Linked DNA regions of Notamacropus eugenii. The protein of the gene in region 1 interacts with the protein of each later gene in a pairwise test. Links are inferred from orthologs where the notes say so. Each region holds a gene or a part of one and is shown in the gene's direction. Other genes may lie near its edges. The genes, in order: ZMYM2 and FOXP1.

What was found.
Region 2: the proteins of ZMYM2 (region 1) and FOXP1 come close enough for resonance energy transfer, tested with the Homo sapiens proteins (2 studies listed by BioGRID). The link is inferred for Notamacropus eugenii from reciprocal best matches to the Homo sapiens genes ZMYM2 and FOXP1.

What each region holds. Positions count from the first base shown.
Region 1 is NC_092876.1:186,827,101-186,836,269, forward strand, and holds the start of ZMYM2 (zinc finger MYM-type protein 2), read left to right. Parts: upstream 1-3,460; 5' UTR 3,461-3,568; intron 3,569-4,600; 5' UTR 4,601-4,668; intron 4,669-7,472; exon of another isoform or gene 7,473-7,589; intron 7,590-9,169. UniProt on the Homo sapiens protein: Involved in the negative regulation of transcription.
Region 2 is NC_092874.1:451,886,415-451,895,583, forward strand, and holds the start of FOXP1 (forkhead box protein P1), read left to right. Parts: upstream 1-4,191; 5' UTR 4,192-4,382; intron 4,383-6,995; coding exon of another isoform or gene 6,996-7,207; exon of another isoform or gene 7,208-7,261; intron 7,262-9,169. Other genes in the region: uncharacterized protein, read right to left, coding at 3,846-4,191, 6,996-7,207. UniProt on the Homo sapiens protein: Transcriptional repressor. Can act with CTBP1 to synergistically repress transcription but CTPBP1 is not essential. Plays an important role in the specification and differentiation of lung epithelium.

The sequences.
Region 1 (9,169 bases):
CCCACAATGTTTCTGTTTACTGTGTACAGTGTTCTCTGGTTCTGCTCACTTCACTCAGCATCAATTCTTGTAAGTCTTTGCAGTATTTTCTGAAATCTACCCAGCATTTCCTTCTCTCTCTCTCTCTCTCCATACACACACACATATACACACATACATATATGTATATATCTATGTATGTATATATGTATAGTTGATATTCACAGGTTTACTTTAATTTTAATGGGAAAATATGGAATAAAGATTTTGAAGAAGCATAATAAGCATTACTAACTTCAAGTTTCTATGAGTTTTCTATATCATAGGTACAGCACTTGGTATGCTCTTGTAAGTACTTCTTCAGTGATGGGCTCATATAAAATTTAAAATAACTAAATCTGATATTCCACATGATATGAAAACCTTCTTTTTTTTGTACATTTTTCTAGGTTTCCTGATGCCATGTCTGCTTTCAGGATTATAACAAAAGGTATTCACGGGCAAATAGAACTGGACCTTATGTCCTTTATCCTTTTCAAGTCAAATAGGATATTATTTCCTTTCACTATTCCAGTCTTTGACTGTGGTAAGGAAGCCTGAGAGGGAGAGAAGTAAAAGACAGCTTTAAATTACATGCTTAAAACCCAGCAGCATATGGTAGTTGACTCTAAGGTACCTATTCAGATCTTTGAGAAATTCAATTCCAAATGTTTTCTTATCAGACCCTCTCACTCTAAATTCAGTGGATTGCTGGCTATTACCAAATTGCTGGCTCTTACCAACTAAGGATGGTGTCATTTTCTATACTCATTATAATCCTGGTTTAACTTTTTCTTAATTTATATATTTACTTTAAGTAATGTGGTTGGGGGTGGGGAAGGGAACTTTAATGGTGACTGGTGACACAAGGTTTATCAGAACAGAAATGTAACAAGTATATTAGTTTCAATAACATTGTATTGAAAGAATTTTATGCATGAATGCAACTATGAAATAAAATAATCTTTAAAAAGAATCCTATTGAGAATATTGATATGAACTATTAGTAAAATAGTTTTTTGATAGTTCAATTAAATTTAGTAAACATTTATTAAGCACTTATTATATGCCAGGCACAGCGCTAAGTGCTGGGGATGAAGAAAGAAGAAAGGGCAGTCCTTGCCTTCAAGAAATTTACAATCCAACAATGGGTAGTGGTAGTGGAATAACAGGCAAACAAATATATACAAAGCAAGAATAAATAGAAAATAATTAAACAGAAAGAAGACACAGAATCAAGAGTGGCTGGGGAAGTGGCATTTTAGTTGAGACTTGGAAGAAAGCTAAGAAGGTCAGTAGAGCGGAGGAGGGAAAGCACTCCACACTCTGGGAATAGCCAGAGATAATGCCCATAGCCAGGAGATGGAGAGTCTAGTAGTTGGTGATCAGCCAGGAGGCCAGTGCCCCTGGATTGAAGTGTACCTTGGGGAAGTAAAGTGTAAGAAGAGTGGAAAGGTAGGAGGGGGCTAGGTCATGAAGGCTCTCGTAGCCGCTAATAATATTACCTAACAGTCATATAGGCTTAGAGTTGGCAAAGTTCTTTTTACAAAATGTTAGCTCATTTGAGCCCTTTAAAGTGAGTGCAATTATCAGACCCCTTTTGCAGGTGAGGAAATGGAGGCTGAGAGAAGAGAGTTGCTCAGGGTCACACAAATGATGCTTATTGCATTAAAAAAAAGGGGGGGAGGAGTTCAAATCCAGCACCTTAAATCCCAGGTAGAAGGACTTGCTCAGTCCCCCCACCGCCCCCAACATGACCAACCAGCCCAGCATAATTTGATTCGAGAAATCTTCCGTTTCTACCAAATTATCCTCTCTAAATTGAATCTGTTAGGAAGGCTCGTGCACCAGTCTTGCAGCGCCCTTCATGGATGATTAACTTCATTAAAAACTTCGTGCTCGCCCGGCCTCGAGTCGGGGCGTTCAGTCGCCGGGGCGCTCCGGCACCCGCGGTTAGACAGACAATGCTGAGCTTGCAGGCGGGCGAGCGGCCTCCCCAGCCTCTCCTCGCCCGCCCGGCCGTCATTTCTAGCCCCCAGGCTCCTGCTGGGGCCCGGCTGCAGCGCCCTCGCGGCGCTTCTCCCCGCAGGGCACGCTGGAGCCTCGGCAGTGGAGCCCCACCATTCCGCCGGCATCAGACGGATACCGGGAGAGGAACTCGTGGGGCCTCGGGCTGCCCGATGCCCGGGGGCGGGCAGGGAGGGGCAGGGAGGGTCCCCGAGCTCGGGTCGTGCCCGGGGGGCCTGGGGGCCGCCCCGCCCCCCGGTCATGGAGGAGCCTAGAGTCTGGAGCTCCAGCCAACCTTGGACGACCAGAGGTGGTGGAAGGCTGTTGAGACGGCCGCCTGAGAACGGGGGAGCAGGAGGAGGCGAGGAGGCTGCCGGGGCGGAGGGAGCTGCACCGTCTTGTGACAGACCAAGGGGAAAGCTCCAGCCCCTCCAACAAGCGGGAGTCCAGGCTTCAGGGGAGTCCGCAGCTTCCTCCATTTTGGTTGATGGAGGCGGGGAGGAGCGCCTTGATCTCTCACCTCCCTCTCCAAGCCCTCTGGCTTCCTCTAGCCCCTCACCTCCACATGCTCGAGGCAGGGAATGCCCCCACGGTCAAACGACCGCTCCAGGCTGGGGCTTAGAGGGGGAAGTGGCTTTAGCCCCACTGGGTTTGGTTTTGAATTGGTCCCAAGTTCCCACAGCAGCTTCCGACAAAATGGAGGACGCCGTCTCCTCCTCCTGCAGCCATGACAAGGAGGGGAGGGAAAGGGGGGTATTCCCCATGGGGGGGGAGAGGGTTAGAAAGAGTGAAGCTCCCCTTCCCTCAAGAGGCTTGAAGAGTTTTACCCCATCCCTTCCCTTTAGCCTGGCATTCCAATGGCAGCTCCTGTCCACTTCTTGCCCCATCTCCGGGGGCGTAAGGGAGATTGGAGTCGGGGTGGGGAAAAGGATTTGGGGGCATCTGGGCTGTTGGTGTCTTTCCCCACTTATTCCTGTAGGGAGAGTTCTTTAGCTGCTGCAGTTGCTGCACAAGATTGAGTGCCCAGGCCTGGGTGAAGACAGAAGGGCCCCTTAGTCCCATTCCCATTTGCCACAGCTTCTGTTTTCACCCGCCTGTGCCCCTAAGTAGCAACCCTGGGCTGGTGGTAGTGGGCAACCAAATTCACATTTGCCATAACCAGAAAGATCCAGCGGGGGGTTGGGGTGGGGAGGGAATGAGGATGGGGGAGGGGGTTTGGGGGAGAGGGGGAGGAGTGGAAGGGGGGACTCTGGGCGTGGCCAAAGTTTGACGGACGACCTTTTAGACCACCCTGCGAAGGCGGGACGGTGAAAGATTATCCTGCTGGCCAATTGACGCGTTCTAAACACCCCCGCCCGTGCCTCCCGGCAGCCAGTCCTCGTCCGGGTAGGCGGAGCCTCGTGGGGCTCGGTTGTGCCGCCTCCTCCTCCTCCTCGCCAGCGCTTAGCCCGGGACTGGACCGAGTGGAGTTGTGCGTGTTACCGAAGGGGGGGGTGGGGCGGGGGAGGGGAGGTTCGTTCCGTGGAGCCGCAGCCAGAACCGGGTGAGGATTATCCCCCACTCTTTCCCCAGCTCGGTCCGCTGATGGTGGGGGTGGCTGGGGGCAGCACTGCCTCCGGAGGAGGCGACTGGAGAGGCGGAGACGGGTGAGCCACCGAAGGAGCCTCCCACCTCCTCCGGCTTGTTACCCCGTAGTGCGGCGCTGCGGCCGTGCAGGGCCTCGGGGGCTGCCCCGGGGTCTCTCCCTCCTCTCGGGTCCGAGGCCCATTGCGGCGCAGCACGGCCCGGTCCGCCGGGCCCCGGGGCTGAGCGAGGGGCAGGGCCGGGCGCCGGCGGGGAGACGAGGCCGCGGAGGGGGCAGCCCCGCGGGTTTGGCAGTCGGGGCGTTCGGAGGCCGGGGTATTTTTCCTTTCCGTCTCGGTTTCTGAGGGGGGAGGTGACGCTGAGGGAGCTGGAGGGGGGCGGCGGCGGTGGGGACCCGGGTTCCCCCCGCCTCGGGCGGGCTATTGCCGCCGCTATTTCTCCGGAGTTGTTGGGGGGCTGCCCCCTTTCCCCACGGAGAACCCGGTCGTCGGCCCCCCGCCGTCCCAGGCGCTGCCCTGCGACGCTCCTGCGTCTCCCGTATTGTTTGCCTGGGTCTCTAATGGCGGACGGGGAGGCAGCGCTGCCGGCCGCCGACTGCAGGGGGGGCCAACCCCGGGCCCGGGGCAACTGCTGGGGGCAGATGGGGAGATCGCGGGCCGGCGGTGACGTGAGTGTCCGGGAGTGCGGTGCGGACGTCTGGATTCGTGGAAGAGGAGGCCGGCAGGGCCCCCTTCGGAAGGAACGTCCTCTCCCTCCTGGCGTCGAGGCTCTGGCTTCCCCCTCCCAGAGCAGAGGGCGCGGATGCGTGCTGGCCCATGTCGCCTCTCTAGACCTGGCCCGGGCGCCGGGGCGGGGGGGTGGGGGGTGGCCCTCGGGGCTCGGAGGGGAGGAAATGAGGCCCGACCTCCACCACCCCCACCCCCAGGGCGGGGGGACGCGGCCTTATTGGGGCCACTTGATTCTCGTTCAAATCTCTTCTCTGTTTTCGTAGGACCAGAAATCCTTTCCAGCCCCATCTGGCCCAGCTTTGGCCGAAACTACGGAGGAGAGTCCCCCATTGTGAGTCCTTTTCTCGTTATTTGTCTCCTTTTGCGGGCCTAGCCCCGGGGTGAGGGGGGGGTGTTAAACCTCCGGGATTCGCCGCCGGCCTCTGTTGTCTTGAGAAGGAGGAGCCATTGCTCGGGTGGTAGCTGCCCCTGGGGCGAAGACCCGGGACTGGCTGGGAAGGCGGCGGGGGTGGGCTCTGTGGCCCGGCCGCCACCGACGCGGCTCCTGCGGCTGCGAGAGCGGCCCGAGCCCCCCGACGACGGGCTGCAGCTGCTCACGTTACCGGGGGGAGGGCACTTGGCTGGTGCCCCCTAGAGTCTGCGGGTGGGAACCGGAGCCGACTCAAGATGAGCTGGGGAGATGCCCTAGGCATCTCTGCCACCCGCTTCTGGCCGAGAAGGCACAGGAGACGCTGGACGAAGGAAAACGAATCTGTTATTTGGTGTTCTGTTTGTTTAAAAACGGAGGTCCCGTCGTCGCGTGGGTGATGAGACGCTTCCTAAAGCTTTGAGTTCGGGTGCCGAGAGCTGCCGTGGTTTCATCCTAGTGTGTGGCAATGCTGAACAGACTTAAGATCCTTATTTGCCTTGATTTCCAAAGTCTCTGGATTTGATGTTAGATATATTTTTCTGTATTGATTATTAAATGAGAATTAGACTTTAATGGTTGTAATTTGTCGTTGTGTTTGAAACTTTCTTTTCCTTAAAGCTAAGATTTCCAGAGTATAAAGTAATAAAGTGACAAAAGTGAACGCCATACCTCTCAACAATGTATTTTGGGAAACCATGGAATTTTGTTTAATCGGGATTTATAGGACTCTCGCTAGGGGCGCTGCTTCAGTTTTGCAGGTTATTGCATAAATATGCAGTAAACACCAAATACTCAAGAAAAGTTAATCACATCCAATCCAAAGCCACTGAATTTCGTATGTTAAAGTGTAGTATTTCTGAGAATGGAAGGATGTATAAATGCATTTAAAATGGAATAAAATTACACGTGTGAAATAAAGCTTCCAAACTCATCTAGCAATTTCTAAAGAAGGTAAGGCTAATGATTAATTTGATTTTCTTGCCCTTTCTTTTAAAAGGAATATAAATATCTTTAAAAATATTAGATTTAATAATAAACAACTCTTTTCAATAGATGGACCTGTTAATGTAAAAAATAAAGATCCTGAATTATGCTGGATACCTTGTTCTTTTTCAGCACCTTTTTTTGATGTAACATTGAATCATAACTACTTCAAGCTGGTTAGTGTTCGGTAACATTGAATCATAAATACTTCAAGGTGGTTAGTGTTCAGATATTTTCCCCATGTGTTTTTAATCTTATAGTTGTTTAAAAACCGGAAGGACAGATGGATATTAACTGTGATACTGAACACAAATGAAGAGCTATCTAGTAGATCCTTGAAAGAGGGATGAAAATTTATTTTTGTGTGCCTTTGCTATGATCAGCTTTATCCTATTAATGAGGGTGATGGCATAGATATATAAAAATATTAATTATAGTAACTGACATTTAAGATTTTCATAGTGCTTTGTATAGGTGTTTCATTTGTTCTTGATAAGAACCCTGTGAGATAGGTGCTGTTGATACTCCTGTTTTACAGATGAGGAAACTAAGCTTCAGAGGCTGTGACTTGCCCAGGGACAAATAGCTATTTTCCGAAGTGAGATTTAAAACCATGTCTGCCTGACTCTCCAGTCTGTCTTCCACTATACCACCAAGCTCAGAGGTTCCCAAACTTATTTGGCCTACTGGCCTCCCTCAAAAAAAATTTCTCAGCCCCCCTGAAAATTTACTTTCTTTAACCTTTTAACAATTTTTTTTGAAATGTGTGTTATTTAAAAAATTTTTTTTAAATGATGCATCTTTAATTTAATAATTTATTGTAAATTGGTGGGTTTTTCATTGCATTGAAATTTTGATGATGCAATATAGTATCATATTGTAAACAAGTCATTACATTCCTACTGATGCATGCTGGACTTCCCAACAATGCCCCTCAGGCTGTCCTGCCAATACTTGCTTGTTAAGACCTGTGGGCTCACTTGACCACTGATGGGTTATAACTTGCATTTTGTGTGTTTATTTGGAAAACAACATAATCACTACGACTTTAACTCTGTTATATGACAGATGAAATGAAATAATTTTTTTGTAGTACATTACCTTTATTACTTTAGTTAAGGCAATATGAAATTCTTTTTTCAACCACTTTAAAATTTCAGGTTAATTGCCTTGAGTAATCAACAAAGTAACTAATTGACTTTCTTATGAAATTGAAATAACTTCTAATAAGTGGTTTCCCTTTTTTTGTATTCTTTAGTGAGAGTTGAATTTATACAGAGGGGTGGGTATACCTGTAAATAACATGAAGTTAGTTTGAGCACAGTGAGGAAGCAGCAAACGATTTAACTTGGACTTCTGGGCACTTCTGATCTAGCTTTCTTTGCCTTGGATTGCCCTGCCTCTCCATCTTTAAAGTAATTTTCTTTGATGGACCCTACCTGAAAGTCATTTATATCTCATTTGATCCTTTAGCTTTTTGGCACTTGCCATTAGGTACTTTATTCAAATTTGGTTTTGGTGTTTATTTTTCTTAGGGCCCCTTCTAGTCAGTCCCTTCAGGCAGAGATTCTTTCTTTTGTAGAATCACAATGAGACATTTTACTATTAGTCACTTATAAAATGTTGGCCTATATCAGAAAGTCAGATAATTTAAACTAATGTTCTAATGTAAAGCATTTCAGTTTAGACTAGAATTACTTCTATATAATTATTGTCTTTAATTTTTACGTTCTCTTATTCAGGTTGATGTGTTTTCTTATAGTCCTTTGTGGTCATGGACTCCTAGGAGTTTAGAGCTTCAAGAGACATTTGAGACTTAGGGTAACTCCCTCTGTTTGCAGAGAAGGAAACGGGCTCAGGTCAGTGAAATAGTACTCATGGACATTTAGTGGCAGAGTTGAGATTAACCTCGATATCCTGATGGTCAGTCCACACTTATTTTACTATATTATGTTTTCCCATATAATGTAAATGTCTTAATTAAAAACAAAACAAAACAGGACCTCTTGTCCCCATGAAATGACTGTTCAGTGAAAATTCAAAGTAAAGCTTACAAAGAACAAAGAGATTTGAATTTAAATTTTAGTTAATGAAAGGTACAAAAAGAATCTGTACTAAAATGGAATGTAGTAAGAAGCAAATTCTTAAGACATGTGAATGGCTTGATGTTTTTTTTTTTTCCTAAGACTGGGTTTATTACTAATGAAAATGAAAGATTGAGATTGTTGGGGATCTGTTTTTGTGGATTGGGCTGAAGGTTGCGTATGTGAGTGTTTGTTAAAATATTTCTGAAAGTAATTTTAAATTATTTAAGCTGTTCAGGTAATCTGTTACATGTCAGCATACCATCTTATATTTATATCATTACTGAGGTATCCCCCCAAGATCTGTGAAGGTTTGCCAAATTTAGTTCATTCCATTTCAGATATTGACTGGAATGACTTTCTTCAGAGCAAAGGTTCTTAACCATTTTTGTGTCATTGACTTTGCCGGACTAGCAAAGGCTATAGATTACTCATAATAGTGTTTTAAGTGCATAAAATAAAATACGTAGGGCTACAAAAGAAACTATTAAAATGTAGTTATCCAAATATTTTTTAAAAAGTTAATGACCCACAGATTAAGAACCCTTTTTTAGGGGATCTACATTCTGTCCTTGTTTTCTTAATTGACTCTAGGTATAAGTTTGTCTGTGAAATTTAAACTTGTGCTAATTGAAAAAATTTTGTGCTTGAAGTTTTTTGTGTTCCATAAAAATATGAAATTGTAAAATGAATATTTTAAGCAAGTTCTGCAGTAGTGACTGATGGATGCTAATAGTATAATCTTACTAGATAAGGTAGGTTGAGTTAATTTAGTTTTTCTCTTTTTAGCAGGTGGAAGAGATATTGGCATATCCACTAGTCCCAGTGGTTATTTAAATATTCTCTAATCATATTTGGTTGGTTAGGAAAAATATTTTAAGTATCTGGGTCAGGTACCAGGTATTTTGATTAGAGATCATGGAGCTACTGATCTAAGGACAGATTTTTTTCTTTTGTGTGGGCCAGGTAACTTACAAGAGAAAAGTCGGAGGAACTACAAAGTGGGACTGATTTATATGCGTGTCTGAGGAAATTCTTCTCATTTTGTGTCCACATGTTGACTGTGGCCTGCCAGGGCCCCTGTATCTTGGTCCACTAGGTGATCTTCCTTTAAATGTATTCTATAAGTTTTATATTCTGTCTTATTTCTGTTCTTTGACTAATGACACAATATATGCATTTGTGAGATGCCTGGGAAGAGTGCTTTAGTAGAACAGTTTTCTCTTAAAAGTATATCAGACTCTCTACATGGAAGAAACAGTTAATCTAGTCTGACCACACATTAGCTAATGTATGAATGCCCTTCAACATTCATAAGTGGTTGCTTTGTTTCTAGCTTGAACATATTTAATACT
Region 2 (9,169 bases), on another chromosome or scaffold:
CAAGTTAATTTTATGTTTTAAACACTACAAAATATGTTGCTCATTATACATGAAGGACTTCTGCAGGAGAATATGAGACATTCGAGTCAGACATAAACTTGATATTCTTTTTCTAATGTTTACCCTACTGGTAGCAGGTTACTCTAAGCCAGTCATACTTTAATCTCAGTTCTCTTAACACAAGCAGCATCCATTGTGATGGTAGGGAATTGAAGTATACAGCAGAAGCTTTCCCTGCTACTAACAACCCACAAAGTGACTGGGTCAAAACCTTGGCCAAATCATAGACTATGCATCATTAAATTCAAATTCAAAATGTTTATTTTTTTAACCTCTCCCCAAGAATATTCAAACATACATGCTACACACAAACACATGTACACACCCATCTTCCTATTCCAGGGGTGAAATGCAATCTTTTCAGGGGGAAAAGAATTTATACTTGTTTAGTTACATAATAAAAACATAGTGTGTTCTAACATATTTTAAAATTTCTTTATGGATGCATATAACCATGTTAGTAATGTTGCCATTATCTTGGTTGTTACTGTGGGCAAATGGGTGTGTGTGTGTGTGTGTGTGTGTGTGTGTGTGTGTGTAGTTTTATATTAATATAATGTTAGGAGCATCTGTTTTTTAAGTGAATATCTATTTAATTTTCTGCCAAAAGGTGGCGTTCTACTCCCATGCCCTTTCTTTTCAACCCTTCCTCTAATTTGCCAAAAAGAAACTTCCACTTGATTACTGATCAAGAAATCAAAATGTGCTCCATATGAATGCAACATGAGAGTGTTGAAAATGAACAATATGTTAAGCTGTAGTTAAGTTTCTTGCTAATATAAACCAAATGGATATGTAGTTCTTTAATAATGCAGCACTAGACGGTTTCATATACAAAATTGACTCTAGTGTATCACAGGAAACCATGAAGGTTCCCTCTTGTCTCTGAAACTTGTTGCAAACCTGATTTCAGTTCCAAATCTGAAGTGAATGTGTGTATGCATATATATTCATACATATATATATATATATATACATGTATATGTATATTATATATTTATATATAACCTAAATAATCTATTTTATAATCTGAGATACACACATACACATCTATATATAATCTAAAAATGTAGAAATAGATTTATGGCCTATTCAAGATCTTTTAAATCCTTGACAAACACAATAAAAAGTGACTTTATCTGAAAAATAAGATGAGGATCTGTGTTTGTTCTTATGAAATATTGCTAGATTAGTCAAGTTAAAATAAATGAACATTTTCCCCCAATTGTGTTGCTACAGGCCTTCATTTACCAGCTGCTTTCAGGATCTGGAAAAAACGTTTAAGAACAAAAGGGTATTCTCTTCTCCAATATGGCCTATGGATTTGTATTTCACAGTTTCTTCGCTTCCTGTATTTGGAATATCCACTGATGTCAAGGAGAGTTTCGTACAAGGAACATGTCCAGAACAGGTAATGAAGATATATACGTTAGATAAGAAAGCCTCTGAAACATCTGCCCTTAGCTAGTTTACCCACTGGGAGTCCTGTCACTATACTTTGGAAGGAGGCCATCCTTCTACCAGCTCTTGACATTGACTTAGCCATCCCAGGGAACTTTTTCTGTGGCTTGCCAGGAAGCCTGACAAAGCTTAAAGAGAAAGAGTGGTAGGTAACATATGAAATCAGGGGAGGAGTGTACATGGAGACCTAGCCTTCATCTTGAAGGGTGAAGAATGTCCAAAGGACCAAACCCACATCTTTACCTCTTTAGAATTACGCTGAATGATCTAATGATTGTGTGTCCGAGAATACTGTGTAACCTTATACAACATATATTGAGTATGAATTACATTGGCACAGGGTGGGTTTGCAGTCTTCATCTATTGAATTCTTTTGCTTTTTAATGTGTTGTATCCATTTAAAAACATAAAGATACCGCTTTAAAATGATACTCCTTACATCACCACTGAATTACTGCTTAAAATATCTCATCAGCAAGCATTATGTGTGACAATATTGCAAAGAGACAAATTATATGACCAAGGTAATTTGGAATTTTAATTCAAATACTATCCAACAGGCAACAGGTAGTACATGAGACTCTTCAGAGCAACATATAAAGTACGTAAAAATACAACTAAATAATTTTAGAAAACAAGGCAAGCAAACCTCAGAGAGAGAAATACTGTCACTTTTTAAAAAGCACTTCCCCCTACATTTCAATTTTGAAGATGTTTGTTATTCACACCATTATTAGCGTATTAGAGCTAAAGAAATAATGTTCTCCTGAGATTTCAAATGCTGAAATTACTTTGGAGGATGCAAACAACTGCTTTCAATGTTATGGTTTTACATCCCTATCCCCTCAGTGGCCTCATTTACCTCATATCCCACAAATGAAAATGTCTTTATCAAAAAGCTGGTCTGGAGTTTGGGCACAGAAGGTAATCTTTATTAATTTTCTATAAAAACTATCCCTTTTAACTACTGGTTATAGACTTAAAGCAGAGATTTTCTAATTTGTAACATGAAAATATAAGATCCATAATTCCTCCTTTTGTTTCAGGGATATATGTGTATGTGTGTGTGTATGCGTGTGTGTGCTGATATACATACACATTCCCCTGACCTTCCTCATTTTCATTTACCAATAAGTCGATGTACACATCTATAGATGCCTCTGTGTGTATATATGTGTGTATAGATGAATGTATGTGTGTATACATACATATGCATATATATATCCCTCTGCATAGTGCTTAATTCCAAGCAAGTCTGATGTCGTTTTATTCAGCATTCTACATTCTCCACATCATCCAGCCATCCAGACAAATTTCTCAAACCTAGTGAATCTTCATCATTACAAACAGATGTCACCTTGTCTGAACTGGACTATATGCAACAAAGCTTTCTGGGTATGACTGATCTCTGCAAGAGCAGGCAATTTGTGTTAAACTCCTAATTGGCATTCTAGCTCCTAGGAGTTTTCCTAAGAGGCACACTGAACAAAAACAAACAGCCTCTCACGAGCATAGATGTGGGCACTTTTTACAAACTGGCCAGAACTACAGAATTCCTCCAGTAACTCTTACGTGAGCCAGAAAAAGATAAGTCTGTCTCATCACATTTTCATCCTTTCTGACCCAAGGATGGAGACAGGGAAAGCCCTGGTTGGAGAGATTTCTGTTTCCTAGCAAACATGGAATTGTCCTTCTGCTGAACTTTCACCTCTCGAACTCGCCTCCTTTCATTGGACAAAGTGCAGAAAGAGAAGAGCCAGAGGAGGGAGGAAGGGGGTGGTGGTGAAGGAAAGAAAAAGCCTCTCCTTCAACTACCACGGGTTGGAAAGCACTTTCACTTTTAACAGCTCCTTGCTTCGGGTCCCTCCGAATCTTCTGTTTTTATTTTAGGGAGGTCAAAAATAAACAAACTATTTCTCATCCTCTCCGGCCCTCTCCCTGCCTAAGTAGCTCTCCCCCTCTCCTCTCCAGTCCCTAAACTGGTCCGATTTCTCTTTCTTCTAAGCAATCTCAGTCTCTCTTTCCCCCTCCTCTGGCAGGCTGTTTGTTTTCCAGGTCTTCCCTGACCCGCTCCCAGCATCCCTCCCCTGCGCCTGCCCCTCTCGCCCCTTCTCCCCGGTCCTAGGGGCTAGGCCCGCTGCCTCGAGGCTCTCCCCCTCCCCTCCTCTCTCCTTCCCCCTCTTCCCTCCGTTTTGCAATAGCGATATTTTGCACAGAGCCTTGTTTACCCAGCAGGTGGATGTGACGTCAGAGACTCACAACAGCAAAAAATAACAACATCTCCATCCGCGATTTGTTTTCCTCTCGGCTCGCTCCCCATTTATTTATTTATTTTGGGGGTGGGTGCAAATTCGAAAGTGGCCGGGAAGCCCTTCGAGCTGAGCCGGGGCAGGAACCGGGGCCGCGGGCCAGGGAGCGGGGTGCGTGCGTGTGTGTCCGTGTGTGTGCAGTGTGTGCGTGCGTGTGTGTGTGAGTGCATGTTTGCGGGTGGGGGAGGGGGGGGTGCAACCTGGCCTGGCGCTTCCCATCTCCTCCCCGCCGCCGCCGCCGCCGCCGCCGCCGCCGCCTCTGTTGGGGTTGCTTCTGCTGCTGCTGCCGCCAACACCGCTGCCGAGGGAGAGCTGGAGCCAGAGCCGGAGCCGGAGCCGGAGCCTCAGCCTCTCCTGGAAGCTAGTCCGGAGCGGAGGAATCTATTGTTATTTATCGTGTGGCTGTTGCATGCAGCAGCGACACAAGCCCTCGCCTATGAGTGTGTGCGTGTGTGCGCGCGGGTGTGCACGCGGGTGTGCGCGCGAGGGCGAGCGTACGTGTGTAAAGGACAGAAAACACCTTAGTTTGCACCGAGAGACCGTTTGCAGCGGGTGAGTTTGTATTTTTCCATTTCTGCTCCACTTTTCCAGCCGTCTCCTGCTTGTTTTCTCCACTTAAAACAACAACAACAACAACCCCCCCCCCCAAAGAACCAAAACAGCAAAAAAAAAAAAAGAGAGCAACCCCCCAACTACTTTTTTTTCCACGATCAGCCTCCACGTGTGTCTCCCTCTCTCTTCTGCCTCCCTCCTTTCCCTCAGTCTCTGTCTCTTAGGGGGTTGGGGGGGGGCGCTGGCTGGGGGGTAGGGGGGGTCCTCTGTTTGTGATGCTCTTGCATCTGTCGGTATATTTGCATAAGTGTGATCCAAAGCTTCTCAGTGGCGGGCCGGGCGCGGCGAGGCAAGGAGAGGAGAGGCGAGGCTAGGCGAGGTTCCCGGCTTGGAGGCTCCCGGGGCTCGCTCTCCCGTTCCCCCCAGCCTCGCACCTCCTGGCCCTCCAGCCTCCTCTCCAGCCCCGGTTTCTCCCCCTCCCTCACGTCTCGGGCTCTGGCCGGTGGACACAGTAGCTTCGGTGAAATAAACAAATAAAAGCGTAGTGTAACTTTAGATTCCCGGAGTTGGAGTCGATACTGTTGCCAGTTGAATGGAAAGTGGTTGTGGGCGCTGAGCTGAGCGGAGAGGGAGGGAAACGGGAGGGAGGAAGGGAGGAGCAAAGGTCTGTAGGGACTGAGGGGGCTGCTCCAGACCCGGAGAGGATCGGCCGGGCCTCGGGCCTCCTGGGGGAGTTGGGGGGGAGGGAAGAGAATGTCTGTGTGGGGCGGACTAGCTCTGCTGACAGTGACCCGGAGGGGAGGTGGGGACGCGACCACTCAAGCACCTTCACTTAAGACTTTAAGAAACTTTTTTTTTCCTTCCTGGGTCTGCCCCTTCTTAGTCCCACCTACCTCGTGGGCTCCAGCAGACAGGCCCCGGGTACCCCACGAGGGGCACCCACTGGGAGCCTCGTGCACTTTCACACTCACACGCCTTTCAGCGAAAACATTCACCTCACACTCCCAAGTGTGCGCACTGTTCCCAGCTACTTCTATACCGAATTCAGAGACACAACCACACTGACACACATACAAGCACACAGAGAAGCACACTCAAACAGCTGAGAAGACTGGCTAGTCTCAACCCTTTCTCGCAAGACTTTGCAATGACCCTATGAACTAGAGTCTTCTACAATCCTGGCCGTGATTTTGTGTGTGTGTGTGTGTCTGTGTGGTGTGGTGTGTGTGTGTGTGTGTGTGTGTGTGTGTGTGTGTGTGCTTTCTCAATCTGGGGAATTTCTCAAGTTCTGATTGCTCCCCTCTATCAGATTCACACGCGTCGCGACTTATCTCGGGTGATTATTTCGGACTGTACAGACAGAGGGGATCTCACCTTCTTTTCTCTCCCTCTGTGTCCGTCTGTCGGTCCGTTCGTTCGCCCCTCCCTGACTGCCCTCGCCTCTCTCTTTCACTCTGTCTCTAGGTCTGTCTGTCCCCCCACGTCAGTCGATCCCTTTGGGCCGACCCTTGTCTAGCAGCACCCGCAGCAGGCGGGCGCTCACGGTGTTGCCCTGCCTGCTTGCCTGCCTCTCTTCTCGGCTGGCCTGCCCGGCCGCCCCGCTGCCAGCCTGCCTGCCTGCCCGCCCGCCCGACTCTCTCCCGGCTGGCCTGCCCGGCCGCCCCGCTGCCAGCCTGACTGCTTGCCTGCCGGCCGGCGGGCCTCGACTGCTGAAGTTGCTGCTGCTGCCGCCGCCGCCGCCGCCGCTGCGGCTGCCCAGGCGGCCCGGGGTCATTAGTCTGCCTAAACTCCCAGACGCGGAGCCTGCCTCCCCCCTCCTCTTCCTCCTCCTCCTCCTCCTCCAACACCACCATATCCCCCCCTTCCTTTCTCCCCCCGCAGACTTCCCCCAGTCCCTACACACTCGCGCGCGCGCGCACACACGGACACATACTCTCAACACGGACACACCGCCAACAAACAGCGGAAACTTTGATATATAGACATATATATTTGGGGGCATTTATCGAGCCTCGCAGACCCCCCTGCCCACCTGTTGTGGTCTCCGCCTCCATCGCCTACCCCGAGGCTGTCGGGGAGCAGGGACTCGGGCTGCTTAGAGAAGCCAAATCACAGTCTCCCCCTAGTCTCCCCCCCCCCCCCACACCCGGTTTGCTGTCTAAACCCTCCTCCCCTCATCCGCCACCCTCCCCATTCACTCACACCCGCCCCCCCCTCCCCTGTCCCCCTTAAGAGATTCAGGACTAAATAAACGGTGGAAACTTCAGACCTTGAGCCTGGGACTGCTTCTTCCACCCCTCCCCCTTATTTTTTCTATTCCTCCCCCCTTTTTGTTGTTGTTGTGGTCGCAACTTTGTGAGAGCAGGGCCGAGGGGAGGAAGACTTTTCAGAGAGTCCCTGCCTGTGTCTGTTTCCAGATCCCGATTTCTCATACCAGGGAGTTCTGAGGCGTCTGTCTCCCACTCTTTCTGGGGTTCACTCCTACACACACACACACACACACACACACACACACACACACACACACGCACACAATCACAATCACACAATCGCGGACATTCTCCCATTATTTCTCCCCTTACTTCCCCATCCCCCCCGCCCCCATCCCCAAACCTGTATTCTGGAGACTTGTTGCAAGCAGCCCTGGTCTCTGGCCGACCATTGAGCCGAAAGTTTGTCTGCAGGAGGAAACGAACGGGCGAGCGCCCGAGGCAGCCCCGGCAGCAGCAGCAGCAGCCGCAGCCGCTACCACCACCGCCGCCGCCGAAGCAGTCCCAGCAGCAGCAGCAGATGGTGCTAGGGAGGAGATGGTCGTGCGGGTTCTGCTAGCCTCAGAGTGGGCACGCTAAGAGCTCGGCTGACCTGTCTCTCTGTTCCGGGTAAGTGGAGGACACTCGGCAGAAACTGAGGCGTCTCGGATCGCAGGTCTGTGGGACCCTAGGAGAAGGAGGAGGGGGAGGATTGTGTGTGTGTGTGTGTGTGTGTGTGTGTGTGTGTGTGTGTGTGTGTGTGCGTGCAGTTGGAAAAGCTGAGAGCAAGGTTGAGGAAGAACGAGTGCTTTCTTGCCAAAGCCCCAGACTTTACAACTCTGGTTTCATTTAGGGATAAGGAAAAGGGAAACAGCAAAGGGCGCATCCTTCAGAGGATAGGTGTTTTTTTAAAAAATGGAATTTTCCCCTTTTTTAAAAGCAGCAGATCCGAGATCAAAGTTTAGCCCTATCGTATACGTGCTGCTATAAAATATGGTGACATTCCTGTCCCCTCTTCTCACCCCCTCACTCTCCTTCTAACTATTAATTATTTCCAAGTCATTGTGTTCAAATCCCATTGCTGGGCTGATTACAAAGTATATTGATTTAGTCTGTGCCCATCTTACTAAATTTGTTTTTTTCTTTTGCTCAACCAGAAAGGTTGAAATGAAACTACTCCCCCCCCCCCCAAAAAACCCCTTCACTAGGCTGAAGGATGAAATTAATGTAACTATTGCATTGATTATTTCTGTGCTTCTGAAATCTACTTTGAAGAATTAGAGGTGAGCTGATATTCCCTCCCAGGGATCTTGTTAGGATTTAATTTCTTGCAGTTGCCATTGAAATAAGTCTCCATATCTCAAAACCCCACACAGTACATACTGTATGCATTCTAGAGGGATCTGAAACATGCAGACCATATACACTTTACATTTAGCGATTCCTGTCCTTGATAATTGATACTGAAGAAGGAAGCTGAATAAGTAAAGCAATGACATTTAGGACGTTGTGATTCTGGGAGGAGAGGTAACCTCCTACCCATAGTAACGGCCTTCGGGAAATTTTTTTTTCCATTGTGCTGGCCAGTTTTTGTTGAACCTTATCACCAGTGTTTAAAAAGGAGATGGAAATACTTCAGATGTTCAGTGCCGTGTGGTAGGATATGTAATTGAGAAAGAAGAGCACTCGCTGTTTTCATTGTTATTGAGAGAAATGCTATATGACTTTTTCTTTTTCCCTCCCCTGGACTTGTAAGTCTCGGAGTAGACATAATTTTTTTTTTTTAAGATCAGGAAAAGTAGAATAGATTCCTAGTCACACACACACACACACACACACACACATACACACACAGAAATAGAATTTATATCCTCCCTCCCCCCATTCCCAGTTCCTTTATTTAAACTATCTCATAATTACACAGCATTAAATACACACACACACACAACCCCACTCAACTAGTTACCATTCACAAGGTGTTGGCTAAACTCTCATTGAAAGAAAAAGGTATTGTAGCTTTAACGTCTTGCCTTGGAAGCACTCTTTCTCCTTAGTCTTTGGATTAGTCTTTGTATGAGGGAGAGAGAAAAAAAATCACTTTTTTGGGGGGGGGGGGAAGAAAGTAAAGTAAACAGCCTTCAACAAGTGAACCTTGACAACCCAGATTAAGGAAGGCAGCGGAGATCAAACAAAGCTGCTGCTGGGCGGTTGTCAGGGGCGGCCTCAGGGAAAGCTCTGTACCGTGCCTTTAGGCAGCCAGACTCTATGTTCACTTATGCAGAAATGGACCATTGCAAATGCTGATCTTTGTTGGGCAACCGAAGGTTAACTTGGAAAGAAAGATCTGTAGTCTCTTCAGTCGTTATTTTTATTTCTTCAGCTTTCTGAGTGGCTAAACAAGTTAATTTTTAAAATGGACTCTGGCGATCTGAACTCCACCCAGAAATAGCAGAATGGGTCTTTGCATTCTCATATGAGTTGAACTTCTCAGAACCACATAGTGGAATTCTTGTCTTTCACCAAAATTACACTCCCCAA